3 linked regions of the Sus scrofa genome follow. The protein of the gene in region 2 purifies or fractionates together with the protein of the main gene of each other region. This does not show direct contact. Links are inferred from orthologs where the notes say so. Each region holds a gene or a part of one and is shown on either strand. Other genes may lie near its edges.

Evidence for each region. Proteins that work in one complex are often made in the same cells at the same time.
Region 1: the proteins of CDC25A (region 2) and SKP1 purify together in Homo sapiens (affinity purification with western blotting; 6 studies listed by BioGRID and IntAct, with this or other methods). This does not show direct contact. The link is inferred for Sus scrofa from reciprocal best matches to the Homo sapiens genes CDC25A and SKP1.
Region 3: the proteins of CDC25A (region 2) and CCNB1 purify together in Homo sapiens (affinity purification with mass spectrometry; 3 studies listed by BioGRID, with this or other methods). This does not show direct contact. The link is inferred for Sus scrofa from reciprocal best matches to the Homo sapiens genes CDC25A and CCNB1.

Annotation. Positions count from the first base shown.
Region 1 is NC_010444.4:136,462,678-136,466,680, forward strand, and holds part of SKP1 (S-phase kinase-associated protein 1), read right to left. Parts: intron 3,431-4,003; coding exon 3,357-3,430; intron 497-3,356; coding exon 353-496; intron 1-352. UniProt on the Homo sapiens protein: Essential component of the SCF (SKP1-CUL1-F-box protein) ubiquitin ligase complex, which mediates the ubiquitination of proteins involved in cell cycle progression, signal transduction and transcription.
Region 2 is NW_018085145.1:105,708-109,710, reverse strand, and holds part of CDC25A (M-phase inducer phosphatase 1), read right to left. Parts: intron 3,368-4,003; coding exon 3,325-3,367; intron 2,722-3,324; coding exon 2,685-2,721; intron 2,205-2,684; coding exon 2,103-2,204; intron 1-2,102. UniProt on the Homo sapiens protein: Tyrosine protein phosphatase which functions as a dosage-dependent inducer of mitotic progression. Directly dephosphorylates CDK1 and stimulates its kinase activity. Also dephosphorylates CDK2 in complex with cyclin-E, in vitro.
Region 3 is NC_010458.4:47,340,923-47,344,925, forward strand, and holds part of CCNB1 (G2/mitotic-specific cyclin-B1), read left to right. Parts: intron 1-443; coding exon 444-626; intron 627-4,003. UniProt on the Homo sapiens protein: Essential for the control of the cell cycle at the G2/M (mitosis) transition.

The sequences.
Region 1 (4,003 bases), on a different chromosome or scaffold from region 2:
GAAGGCTGTGCATTAGAGATGTCTTATACAATGCATTAAAAACATACCAGGGAGTTCCCATCGTGGCGCAGTGGTTAACGAATCCGACTAGGAACCATGAGGTTGCGGGTTCGGTCCCTGCCCTTGCTCAGTGGGTTAACGATCCGGCGTTGCCGTGAGCTGTGGTGTAGGTCGCAGACGCGGCTCGGATCCCGCGTTGCTGTGGCTCTGGCATAGGCCAGTGGCTACAGCTCTGATTAGACCCCTAGCCTGGGAACCTCCATATGCCGCGGGAGCGGCCCAAGAAATAGCAACAACAGCAACAACAACAACAAAAGACAAAAAAAAAAAAAAAAAAAAAAAAAAAACATACCAGGATTAGCTCGAAAAGTGTTCCTTGGTCGACTTTCAGGAATTCTTGATCCCAAACAGGGATATCATCTGTTCGCTTTTCCTTGTTCTCATCATCCTCAGGAGGAGGAGGATCATCCTTATGGTGGGTGCACCACTGAATGACCTGTTACAACAAAAGTTCATTCCTCTGTGGCATTTTGTGACAAGGTACTCATTCCAGGACTGGGGCAAGGTTATTCATACACTGGGCTAAGAACTAGCTATAGTCGAACTGGATAATCAAGTTAGTAGCCAAGCTTTTTAAAAGCACAACCCTTGAGGACAGAATATCTTAGGTAACAGTGAACCATGCAGTCAGATTACTATACATGACCATATGAAAAAGCTACTCTGCAAAAAAAAAAAAAAAAAAAAAAAAAAAACCCAAAAAACATTAAATTAGAAATAAACATGTACAAGCCAGCAAATGACCACACCATAAAATATAAAATCTCAAAAAAATCTCTACAATAGACTAAAGATATGAAAAGGCAGTTTATAAAATGTCTGAATAGTCAAAGAGGAGGAAATTCTCAGCTTTATTAAATGCAAAATTAACACTACAGTCAGAAACTACTTTAGATCATGCCCCCCAAAAAGATATATAAAAATCAAGACGCTGGAGTTCTCATCGTGGCGCAGAGGAAACGAATCTGACTAGGAACCATGAAATTTGCAGGTTCGATACCTGGCCTCTCTCAGTGGGTTAAGGATCCAGCGTTGCCATGAGCTGTGGTATAGGTCGCAGATGTGGCTTGGATCCCGAGTTGCTGTGGCTCCGGTGTATCCCAGCAGCTGTAGCTCCAACTGAACCCCTAGCCTGGGAACCTCCATATGCCGCAGGTGCAGCCATAAAAAGACAAAAAACAAAACAAAACAAACAAAAAATCATGACGTTGATACTAATCACTGACAATAGTGTGAGGATAACATGAATGCTTCTACTGTAGAGTGTAAATTAGTATAATCCCTTTGAAAAGTAATCTAGGAATACCAAGTAAGCTGAATGAGAATGGGTGTTTGCTGTATAATCTAACTTTTCTGTATGATTAAAAATTTTTTTAGTTTATAATGTCGGGGGAATAAACAATGCTGAGAGACAATGGGAGAGCTGAGAAATTATAAATTACATATAAATTCTATATTTATAGATAAATTACATATAGATTGTATACCACCAGGATACAAAAAAAGAGAAATAACTATTTCCAGAAGAAAAAGCCAAGCATAAAGGGCTTTAATTAAAGCCCATGCTCCCAATGCCCAGAACTTTCTTCCCCCATAGAGTCATGTCTTTGTTCAAAGATCATCTTCTCACCTTAAGGCATTTCCTGACCATCTTTGTTTTAAAAACAGCCAACTGCTCCCTACCATACCACTTTACTCCAAAGCTTTTCCATGTGACATACTGCTTATGTTGTACACTTCCCCCACACCTTCAGAATGCAGACTCCCTAAGGACAGCAATTTTGTCTGTTTAGTTCACTGCTATACCTCCAGCACCTAAGAGAGGCCTGACATTTGAATGAATGCAAGAAAAAGCCCTTTTAGAAGCATTTTGTATTGGCATAAAATAGAATGTTAGTTTGCAAAGACAATGCCCAGAAGTCAGAAAGGAGATTTACTTAGATAAAATACAAAGCTTCTGAACCAAAAAATACTAAGAATTGACAAAAGACAAGCAAATTGATAAAAACTATATAAAGAACTCCTATAACAAGCCTACTAGACTATGAAATGGGTGCATTTTGAAAACATTATCCTAAGTGAAATAAGTCAGACACACAAGGATTAAATGTTCTATGATCCCATTTTTATAAGGTACCCAATATAGTCAAATTCATAGACACAGAATACAGAACAGTGGATATAAGGGTTTTTTTACCCAGACTAGGCACAATACATACATACATACATACATATATAAATTTATTTTTTTGCTTTTTAGGGCCACACCTGTGGCATATGGAAGTTCGTAGGCCAGGGGACCAATTGGAGCTACAGCTGCTGGCCTACGCCACAGCAACGCAGGATCCAAGCCACGCCTGAGACCTACACCAGAGCTCACGGCAAATACGGGATCCCTGACCCACTAGGATTGAACCCACATACTCATGGATATCAGTCGGATTACTTTCTGCTGCCTGACAGCAGAACTCGACTAGGCATATTTAAAAGACTGGTAATAGCCAAGTGTAGTAAAACTACGGAAACACATGCAGCGCAGCTGCATCTCATTCCAGGGTCAAGAGAAAGCATAAAATGTAAATATGTATGGTTAAGGACCTCTCAAAATCCCTGAGGAAGGCCCCACCTGGAACTGACCACTTCCATCTCCAAGCCTAGCCAGTTCTCCCCCCAGTGTGCAAACTGCCGGCTTTCTTCAGAAGAGCAAGCAGTCCAACAGCTGTCTCTGTTATGGAGCCATATGCCCTGAAACACTAAAATCCTATTCAACAGAGTGGCCTGTTGTTTATGCTTGGAAAAAGTGTTGATCAATAAGTGACGGGGGAAACACATGGTCGTGTTCTCTAACTCGCTGAGGTATACCCATTCAGTAGATAAGCAATTCAATATTTAAAATGTGTTAATGAAAAAGACTACACAATTTAAATCTTCAGAGCCTGGTTAAATCAACTAAAACAAATATCTTAGTCATAATCTTATATAATTGTTTGGCTGTTGTTTTTTTTTTAATTTTTAGGACCACACCAGCAGCATATGGAGGTTCCCATGCTAGGGGTCGAATCAGAGCTGTAGCCACTAGCCTATGCCACAGCCACAGCAATGCTAGATCCGAGCTGTGTCAGTGACCTACACCATAGCGCACGGCAATGCCAGATCCTTGGCTCACTGAGCAAGGACAGGGATCAAACCGGCGTCCTCATGGATGCTAGTCATGATCTATGTGTCGATATAGAAAGATGACGGAGATACTGCTAAATGGATGCATACATATGTATGTGTAGAGTTTGCTACCTTACCTTTTTTAATATTGCTGCATTAACATTTGGTAAAGGGACTGGATCATCATCTCCTTCATCATCCATTCCCAAATCTAAGAAAACCAGAAGAGAGTCTCTATTATATTCTAACTCCATTATAACATTTACACCAACCAGGCTGTCTCAAACAAGTAACTTGCAAGACATGCTATCTCAAAGACTATAAAAGGGCATTACTAAAAATAGTTCTTTCAAAAGCACTTAAAATAGACAGTTCCTAGCAACAGCTCCAAGAACTACCCAAAACTATATAAAGTTGTATGAGTAGAGAAATGCAGGAATATTATAAAAAGGCAGTTCTTAATTAGGAAGAAAGGCGACTTAAGAAGTAGGAATGGAGTTCCCATCGTGGCTCAGTGGTTAATGAATCCGACTAGGAACCATGAGGTGGCGGGTTCGATCCCTGGCCTTGCTCAGTGGGTTAAGCATCCGGCGTTGCCATGAGCTGTGGTGTAGGTCGCAAACTTGGCTCAGATCTCACATTGTTGTGGCTGTGGTACAGGCCAGTGGCTACGGCTCCGATTTGACCCCTAGCCTGGGAACCTCCACATGCCACGGGAGCGGCCCAAGAAATGGCAGAAAGACAAAAAAAAAAAAAAAGAAGAAGAAGAAGAAGAAGTAGGACT
Region 2 (4,003 bases):
TCACAGACACGGCTAGGATCCCGCATTGCTGTGGCTCTGGTGTAGACTGGCAGCTTGAGCTCCAATTCCCCTAGCCTGGGAACCTCCATATGCCACTGGTGCTAGCCCTAAAGTGACAAAAAGACCAAGAAAAGAACTTGTTGCTAAGCATAGCTAATATCACAGAGTATTTACATGTCAACAGAGTGCTAAGTACTTTCGTGCATTAGCTCATTTACCTATCAACCACAACCCAATTATTTTCATTTTACAGATGAGAAAACTAGGCCTTACAGATTAAGTGATGTGTCAAAGATTTGGCTTCATAGCCAGACTGGACAACTCCAGAGCAAGAGCTCTCTAACTTACGCTGTTTCCCCTCTAGAATGAATGAAGCTCCAATCAGGCAAGTCCAGAAGCCAAGCTTGCAGGGAGAACCAGACATCAGTACAATAGCTTTGACCTGTTCCATAAAAAGCCCTACAAGGAGGCTGACAGTGTTCCCAGCATTCAAGGCAGAACAAACTCATTTCTGTATTCTCTCTCAAGACATCTTACAAATTGCTAAAGAAATCATTAGGAGAGTTCATGGAGGCCGTAGGTTCCAGAAGTAGTAAGTTCAGATGTTTATAAGGAGTATAAAATGTGGCATTTTAGCAGCAGATGAGGAAGGAGAGAAAACAGATACAGAAATACAGTGAGAAAGAAGACTGGAAACAGCTGATTCACTGAAGTCTTGGTGTCTACCCTATGTAAGGCACCCCACCAGGGTGTTCCTGGACTTTTTAAAAAATTTTGTTTTATTGGAGTATATATAGTTGACTTACAATGTGGTATTAGCCTCAGGGGTATAGCAAAAAATGAGTAAGTTATACATATATACATCCTTTCTTTTTTCCCATATAGGTTATAACAGATTATTGAGTAGATCTTCCCATGCTATACAGTAGGTCCTTGTTAATTACCTATTTCATATGCAGTAGTATGTATATGTTATTCCCATCCTCCTAATATATTCCCTCCCAGTAGTTTCTTCTATGGTTACCATAAGTTTGATTTTGAAATCTGAGTTTGTTTTATAAGTTATTCTGTATCATTTTTATTAGATTCCACATATATGTGATATCATATGATATTTGTCTTTGTCTTGTTTTTGGACTTTTTTTTTTTTTTTTTTTTTTTTGGTCTTTTCTAGGGCTGCACCCACGGCATATGGAAGTTCCCAGGCTGGGGGTCTAATTGGAGCTGTAGTCACAGGCCTATGCCAGAGCCACAGCAACTCGGGATCTGAGCCTTGTCTGCAACCTACACCACAGCTCACGGCAAAGCCGGATCCTTAACCCAATGAACGAGGCCAGGGATCAAACCCGTAACCTCATCGTTCCTAGTCAGATTTGTTAACCACTGTGCCACGACGGGAACTCCATTGTTTTTGGACTTTTGGATGCACCCTCTAAGCTGCCATTTCAGTTACTCTGAGATTCCCTGGGACTTATTGGTTCTGTTCTTTCAAGAAGCCTTTTCCTGGAGTTCCTGCTATGGTGCAGTGGGTAAGAATCTGACTGCAGTGACTTGGGTCACTGTGGAGGTGTGGGTTCAATCCCTGACCTGGCAGGTTAAAAGATCTGCCATTGCCACAGCTGTGGCATAGGCTATAGCTATGGCTCAGGAACTTCCATAATCCATTGTGCAGCCATAAAATTTTATTTTATTTATTTTTAAAAAACTTATCATAAAATTTAAAAAAAGGCCTTTTCCTAAACTTCCAACTCATCCTAGGGTCAGCACAAAAAAGACCTGGCCAGACCCTTCCAGACAAAGTGTTCAACTCTTACCTGCCAGGAACCATTTGAGATGCTTTATCGGCATTATCTTAGTAATTCCCACAACAGCACTACAAGGGACTAACTGCTACTCCTATTTCACAAAGAAATAAAGCCTAAAAATAGTCAAGATCACAGATAGCAATCAGTAGGATTCCAATCCGGTTTCTCGGACTCCAAAGACTATCATGACTTCGGTGATGGTTTCGTCTCCCAGGAAGCAGCCCAGCTACTTCTCCATAACTGGACACAAGTGGGTTTGACCTCTGCCCTAGGTTAGTACGTTAATGCCACACTCACGTTTTCCTTGTTTTCGTCCTGGTCAATCAGCTGAAAGACATCATGGTCAAGAGAATCAGAATGGCTCCTCTTCAGAGCTGGACTACACCCCAAGAGCTTCTGCTATCAAAGTGGAAAAAGGAATTAGGGTACATAAATGAAAACTCAATGGAAATTCAATTCTAAAAGAAAAAAAATGCTAGTGGTGGGATAGGGAGGCTTAGCTCCTCACACACTGTACTAAGTAACCAGTAAATGCGGCTAGGGCTCCACCTTGTGAGAACACAGGATAGAGGGTCTCACTAACATGGCTTTACACCAACTTCACAAGGTCTACAGCCCTTTTAGGAGGGACTCAGGTATCAAACACCATTTGCATAAAAATAAGCCTTCTTGGCTTGATAAAGCTGAATAGTTAGAAATGGAGGAAAAAGCCCAAGAAGTAGCCAATACTGAAGTGGCTTTAGGTAGTGTTTTGAATGCTAGTGAGACTAAGTAAGGAAAAGCAGGCTTTGGGTCTAAATTAAGGTCTGCTTTCAAGGTCACACTGGTAGCTAAGGGGCAGAGAATAAGTATCAGCTCAAAATAAACAAGAGAACTTACAGGTAGGGAATTTATTCTCCTCATGGGATTTTCACGGCTGCAATGAGTTCAAAAAGTAAATAATGAGAATAAAGTAAAGAAATATTCACATTAGCAGATGCACAGTGTCTAACCTACAGTTTGGTGGGGTAGGGGAAGAGTCAAACATATTCCCATTTTAGGCAAGATGGAAGAACAGATTTCTGAAGCTGTCCTGCTCTCACAAGCATCCCTACCACTGGACTTTTCTTAAAAAAAAATACACATGCTTAAGACTATGATATCAGAAGGCAGAACAAAGGTTAGGGTGAGACTGGATCAGAACACCAAAATTACAGCCAAAATAAAGGAAGGAAAGTTCTGAAAACTGCTGATACAAACTACTCATTTTCAAAAGATAACAAGACTATTTATAGGATACAGGAATCTTACTAGGGGTAGCTAAATCCAGAGCTCCAGTCCAGAGCATGAGGAATTTCATTAAAAAATATTCAGTTTTGGAAGTTCCTAGTGGCCTAGGTTAGGACTTTCACCACTGCAGCCTGGGTTCTATCCCTGGTCTGGGAACTGAATCCCACATCAAGTCACTGCATGTAGCAGACAGGAAAAAAAAAATTAGGTTTCTTCTAAGCACAGACATTTAAAAGCAGTGAATACATACTTTTCTTTACTGTCCAAGGGCCCAGGAGAATCCAGACAGAAGCCTGTGGGAAGTTAAAAATAATAGTACTAGTACTGTTTCTTTAAGGCAGTCAATAAAGACTCATGGCTTAGATTTTCGGCAGAATTGACGTTGAGGCTCTAGGATCCCCAATTCATAGGGGTATTAAATCCCCAATTTGCACATCAATTCATCCTTTCCTACTTGCAAATATTATCACAGAAAATAGGATTCGAGGAGAGTGAATTAAACCAAACCCCATGACTTATTTACAAGCAGATGAGGCTCAGATCTTGAGTTGCTAAGGCTGTGGTTTAGGCCAGCAGCTACAGCTCCAATTAGACCCCTAGCCTGGGAACCTCCATATGCTGCAGGTGTGGCCCTAGAAAAGGCAAAAAGACCAAAAAAAAAAAAAAAAAAAAAAGGGAACAAATTTACGGTTACCAAAGGGGAAAGGGGGAGGAGAAAGGCATAAATTAGGAGGTTGGGATTAGCATATACACACTACACATATACAATAGATATTAACAAGGTCCTACTATATAGCATGGGAAGCTATATTCAATATCTTGTAATAACTTATAAGGGAAGAGAATATGAAAAAGAATATATATGCATATAACTGAATCACTCTGCTGTACACCAGACAGTGGCCTGGGAACTTCCACATGCTGCAAGC
Region 3 (4,003 bases), on a different chromosome or scaffold from region 2:
GGTAACTGGAGCTTGAGGAAAATGGTTTGTGATAACAAGTCAGTTAATCCTTAGTAGTCAGAACAGAACTTGTGTTCTTTTGGGCAGTGGGAAACAGTCCATAATTTGAAATAAAGACTAAGGATTAACATATTCACTTGGATTAACTTCACATGACATCGCTAAACAGATCCATTACTTACCAGTTTTATTTGGAGGAAAGTCTTGAATATGAATTTGCTTCCTCTCTGTTGTAACTGTTTAGCTGCTGCCTCTAAATTGGCTCAGCCTAAGTTGGCATTTTACTTTTCCTATTATTTCCTGAAGATACACTGAATAAATTTGAAAAGCTAAATGAATTGTATATCTATTCAGCAGGTAGTCTTTTGAGTTGGTACCAGTTATCTGACCTTTATTCGCAGACCGTGTGCTCTTCTTAACTGTTGTTTCAAAATCTGTTTCAGGTTGATACTCCCTCTCCAAGCCCCATGGAAACATCTGGCTGTGCCCCTGCAGAAGAATATTTGTGTCAGGCTTTCTCTGATGTAATTCTTGCAGTGAATGATGTGGATGCAGAAGATGGAGGGGATCCAAACCTTTGTAGTGAATATGTGAAAGATATCTATGATTATCTGAGACAACTTGAGGTCAGTATAGTAGTACAGAATCTTTGTTTTTTGTCTAAGCTGCATCTAGCTTTATCAAAGAGATACTCCATTAACAGTTTAAGCATTTCTAGGCATTCCCATTGTGGCTCAGTGGTTAACGAATCCGACTAGGAACGATGAGGTTGCGGGTTCCATCCCTGGCCTTGCCCAGTGGGTTGGGAATTGCATTGCCATGAGCTATGGTGTAGGTCGAAGATTCGGCTCAGATCCCGCTGCTGTGACTGTGGTGTAGGCTGGCAGCTACAGCTCCAGTTCGACCCCTATCCTGGGAACCTCCATATGCCACAGGTACAGCCCTAAAAAGACAAAAGACAAAAAAAAAAAAAAAAAAACCATTTAATCATTTCTTTTGTTGTTGTTGTTGTTGTTGTTGTTGTTGCTATTTCTTGGGCCGCTCCCGCGGCATATGGAGGTTCCCAGGCTAGGGGTTGAATCCGAGCTGTAGCCACCGGCCTACGCCAGAGCCACAGCAACGCGGGATCCGAGCCGCGTCTGCAACCTACACCACAGCTCACGGCAACGCCGCATCATTAACCCACTGAGCAAGGGCAGGGACTGAACCCGCAACCTCATGGTTCCTAGTTGGATTCGTTAACCACTGCACCACGACGGGAACTCCCCGTGTAATCATTTCTTAAAAGTAGGTTCCACTTTTAAATTCTTAATGAAACACCAAAAATAAACAAGCTGGTGATCAGGGAAAGTTCAAGTGAGTGGGTAATACCATGCTTTAATTTTTTGTCTCTTTCTTTCTTTCTTTTGTTTTTTTTTGGGCTGCACCCCATTTTGATCAGGGAAAGTTCAAGTGAGTGGGTAATACCATGCTTTAATTTTTTGTCTCTTTCTTTCTTTCTTTTGTTTTTTTTGGGCTGCACCCCCAACATACGGAGGTTCCCAGGCTAAGGGTTGAAAAGGAGCTATAGCCGCTGGCCTATGCCACAGTCACAGCAACACCAGGTCCCAGATGTGTCTGCGACCTACACCACAGCTCATGACAACACTGGATTCTTAACCCACTGAGCAAAGCCAGGGATCGAACCTGCGTCCTCATGGATACTAATCAGATTCATTTCTGCTGAGTGCCATGGCTTTTGTAAAGAAAGTCAGATTGAATGATAATATCCATCACAGTTTGGGGTGGGTGAGTCCCAAATTTGGGTTTAAGGAGGCTAACAGGCTGAAGGTACATGATAATAGAGATGCTGAAAAACTATAGCCAAAAGGCATCTTGGATCAGTGTGGCTTATGAGCATGTGCCATAATGGAAGTTGTTCTTTGCATCTAAGAAGAATATACTCAAAAACTAAATTTTTGGACTTTTTGCCATTTCAGCCCATTTCTCAAACTTTCTATTAGTGTCCTTTGCCCTTTCCTCTCAAAAAAAAGGAGGCATTCTGTATGTTAACAACATAAGTTATACAGTTACCAGATGCATCCAAACTGCTTGTTTATAATGCATTTTATTCTAGTGGCATCGTTAATGTCTTTGGGCTTTGGCCTGGTTTGTTTTTGTTTTTTTCCCAGGCTAGGGGTCGAATCGGAGCTGTAGCCACCGGCCTACGCCAGAGCCAGCCCAACGAGGGATCCGAGCCACGTCTGCAACCTACACCACAGTTCACGGCAACGCCGGATCCTTAACCCACTTAGCAAGGTCACGGATCGAACCCACAACTACTTCATGGTTCCTAGTTGGATTCGTTAACCACTGAGCCACTATGGGAACTCCTGGCCTGATTCTTTTGGGTGTCTCCAATTTTCTATAGGATTGTCCTGCAAGAAGACTTCTGCTCTGGATTTTTTCTTCTCCTCTCCACTTTTTTTCCTTTTTTGGTCTTTTTAGGGCCGCACCCATGGTATATGGAAGTTCCTAGGCTAGGGGTCCAGTTGGAGCTGTAGCTGCCAGACTTATACCACAGCCACAGCAACATGGGATTTGAGTTGTGTCTGCTACCTATACCACAGCTCATGGCAATGCCAGATCCTTAATCCAGTGAGCAAGGCCAGGTATTGAACCTGCGTCCTCATGGACACTAGTTGGGTTTGTTACTGCTGAGCCAGGTGGGGAACTTCCTCTTCTCCCTTGTTTTTGCTTTTTCGGGCCACACATGCTGCATATGGATGTTGCCAGGCTAGGGGTCAAATTGGAGCTGCAGCTGCTGGCCCACACCACAGCCCACAGCAATCCCAGATCTGAGCCGTGTCTGTGACCTATCCAACAGCTTATGGCAATGCCAAAACCTTAACCCCCTGAGTGAGCCCAAGGATTGAACCCACATCCTCATGGATACTAGTTAGATTCATTACTGCTGAGCCACAATGGGAACTCCCTCCCTTGTTTTTAAAGTTTAATGTTCTAACTTCAGAGGAGTGGGTTCAGCAGATGCATAAGCTGGGTTTTGATGGTTCACTCTTATTTATGGGTTTTTGGGGGTTTAAACCCTGGAGCCAGAGTGGTAGCATATTGGTTCCAGCTGATCTGGGAGCTGTTGCTATTTTCTTCTACTTCAGGTTCTGGATTTAGAGTCTTAAGTGAAAAGATATGAGGTGATACTATGGTATCTTTATTAGGGAAGAAGTGGGGACAAGGTATGGGCCAGTAGTGGTGAAATGGACATAGTAAGATCTGCCATTGTGAAAACCTGTCACATTGTCCTGTTGAATGTTTGCTTTATTTCTTCCTCAGCAAAAGAGCTGTTTGCAATGACTGTATGAATAATCCAATCACTAGAGGGATTTCCTGTTGTGGCTCAGCAGTAACGAACCTGACTAGTATCCATGAGGACACAGTTTTTTTTTTTTTTTTTTTTTTTTTTTTGTCTTTTTGCTATTTCTTTGGGCCGCTCCCTTGGCATATGGAGGTTCCCAGGCTAGGGGTCGAATCGGAGCTGTAGCCACTGACCTGCGCCAAAGCCACAGCAACTTGGGATCTGAGCCGCATCTGCAACCTACACCACAGCTCACGGCAACGCCGGATCGTTAACCACTGAGCCACGACGGGAACTCCAGGACACAGTTTTGAGCCCTGGCTTTGCTCTGTGGGTTAAAGGATCCAGCGTTGTGGTGAGCCGCAGTGTAGGTCACAGAGATCGCTTGGATCCCTCGTTGCTGTGGCTATGGCGTAGGCTGGCGGTTGCAGCTCCGATTCAACCCCTAGCCTAGCAACTTCCACATGCTGTGGGTACAGGCCTAAAAAAGATAAAAACAAAACAAAATAATAAAAAAGAACTGTTAGCGATCCTAAATGTTTTAGAGCTACTCTGAGGGGACATTTCTGGTCAGAAATGTCATGTGGGGAGTTCCCGTCATGGCGCAGTGGTTAACGAATCCGACTAGGAACCATGAGGTTGCGGGTTCGG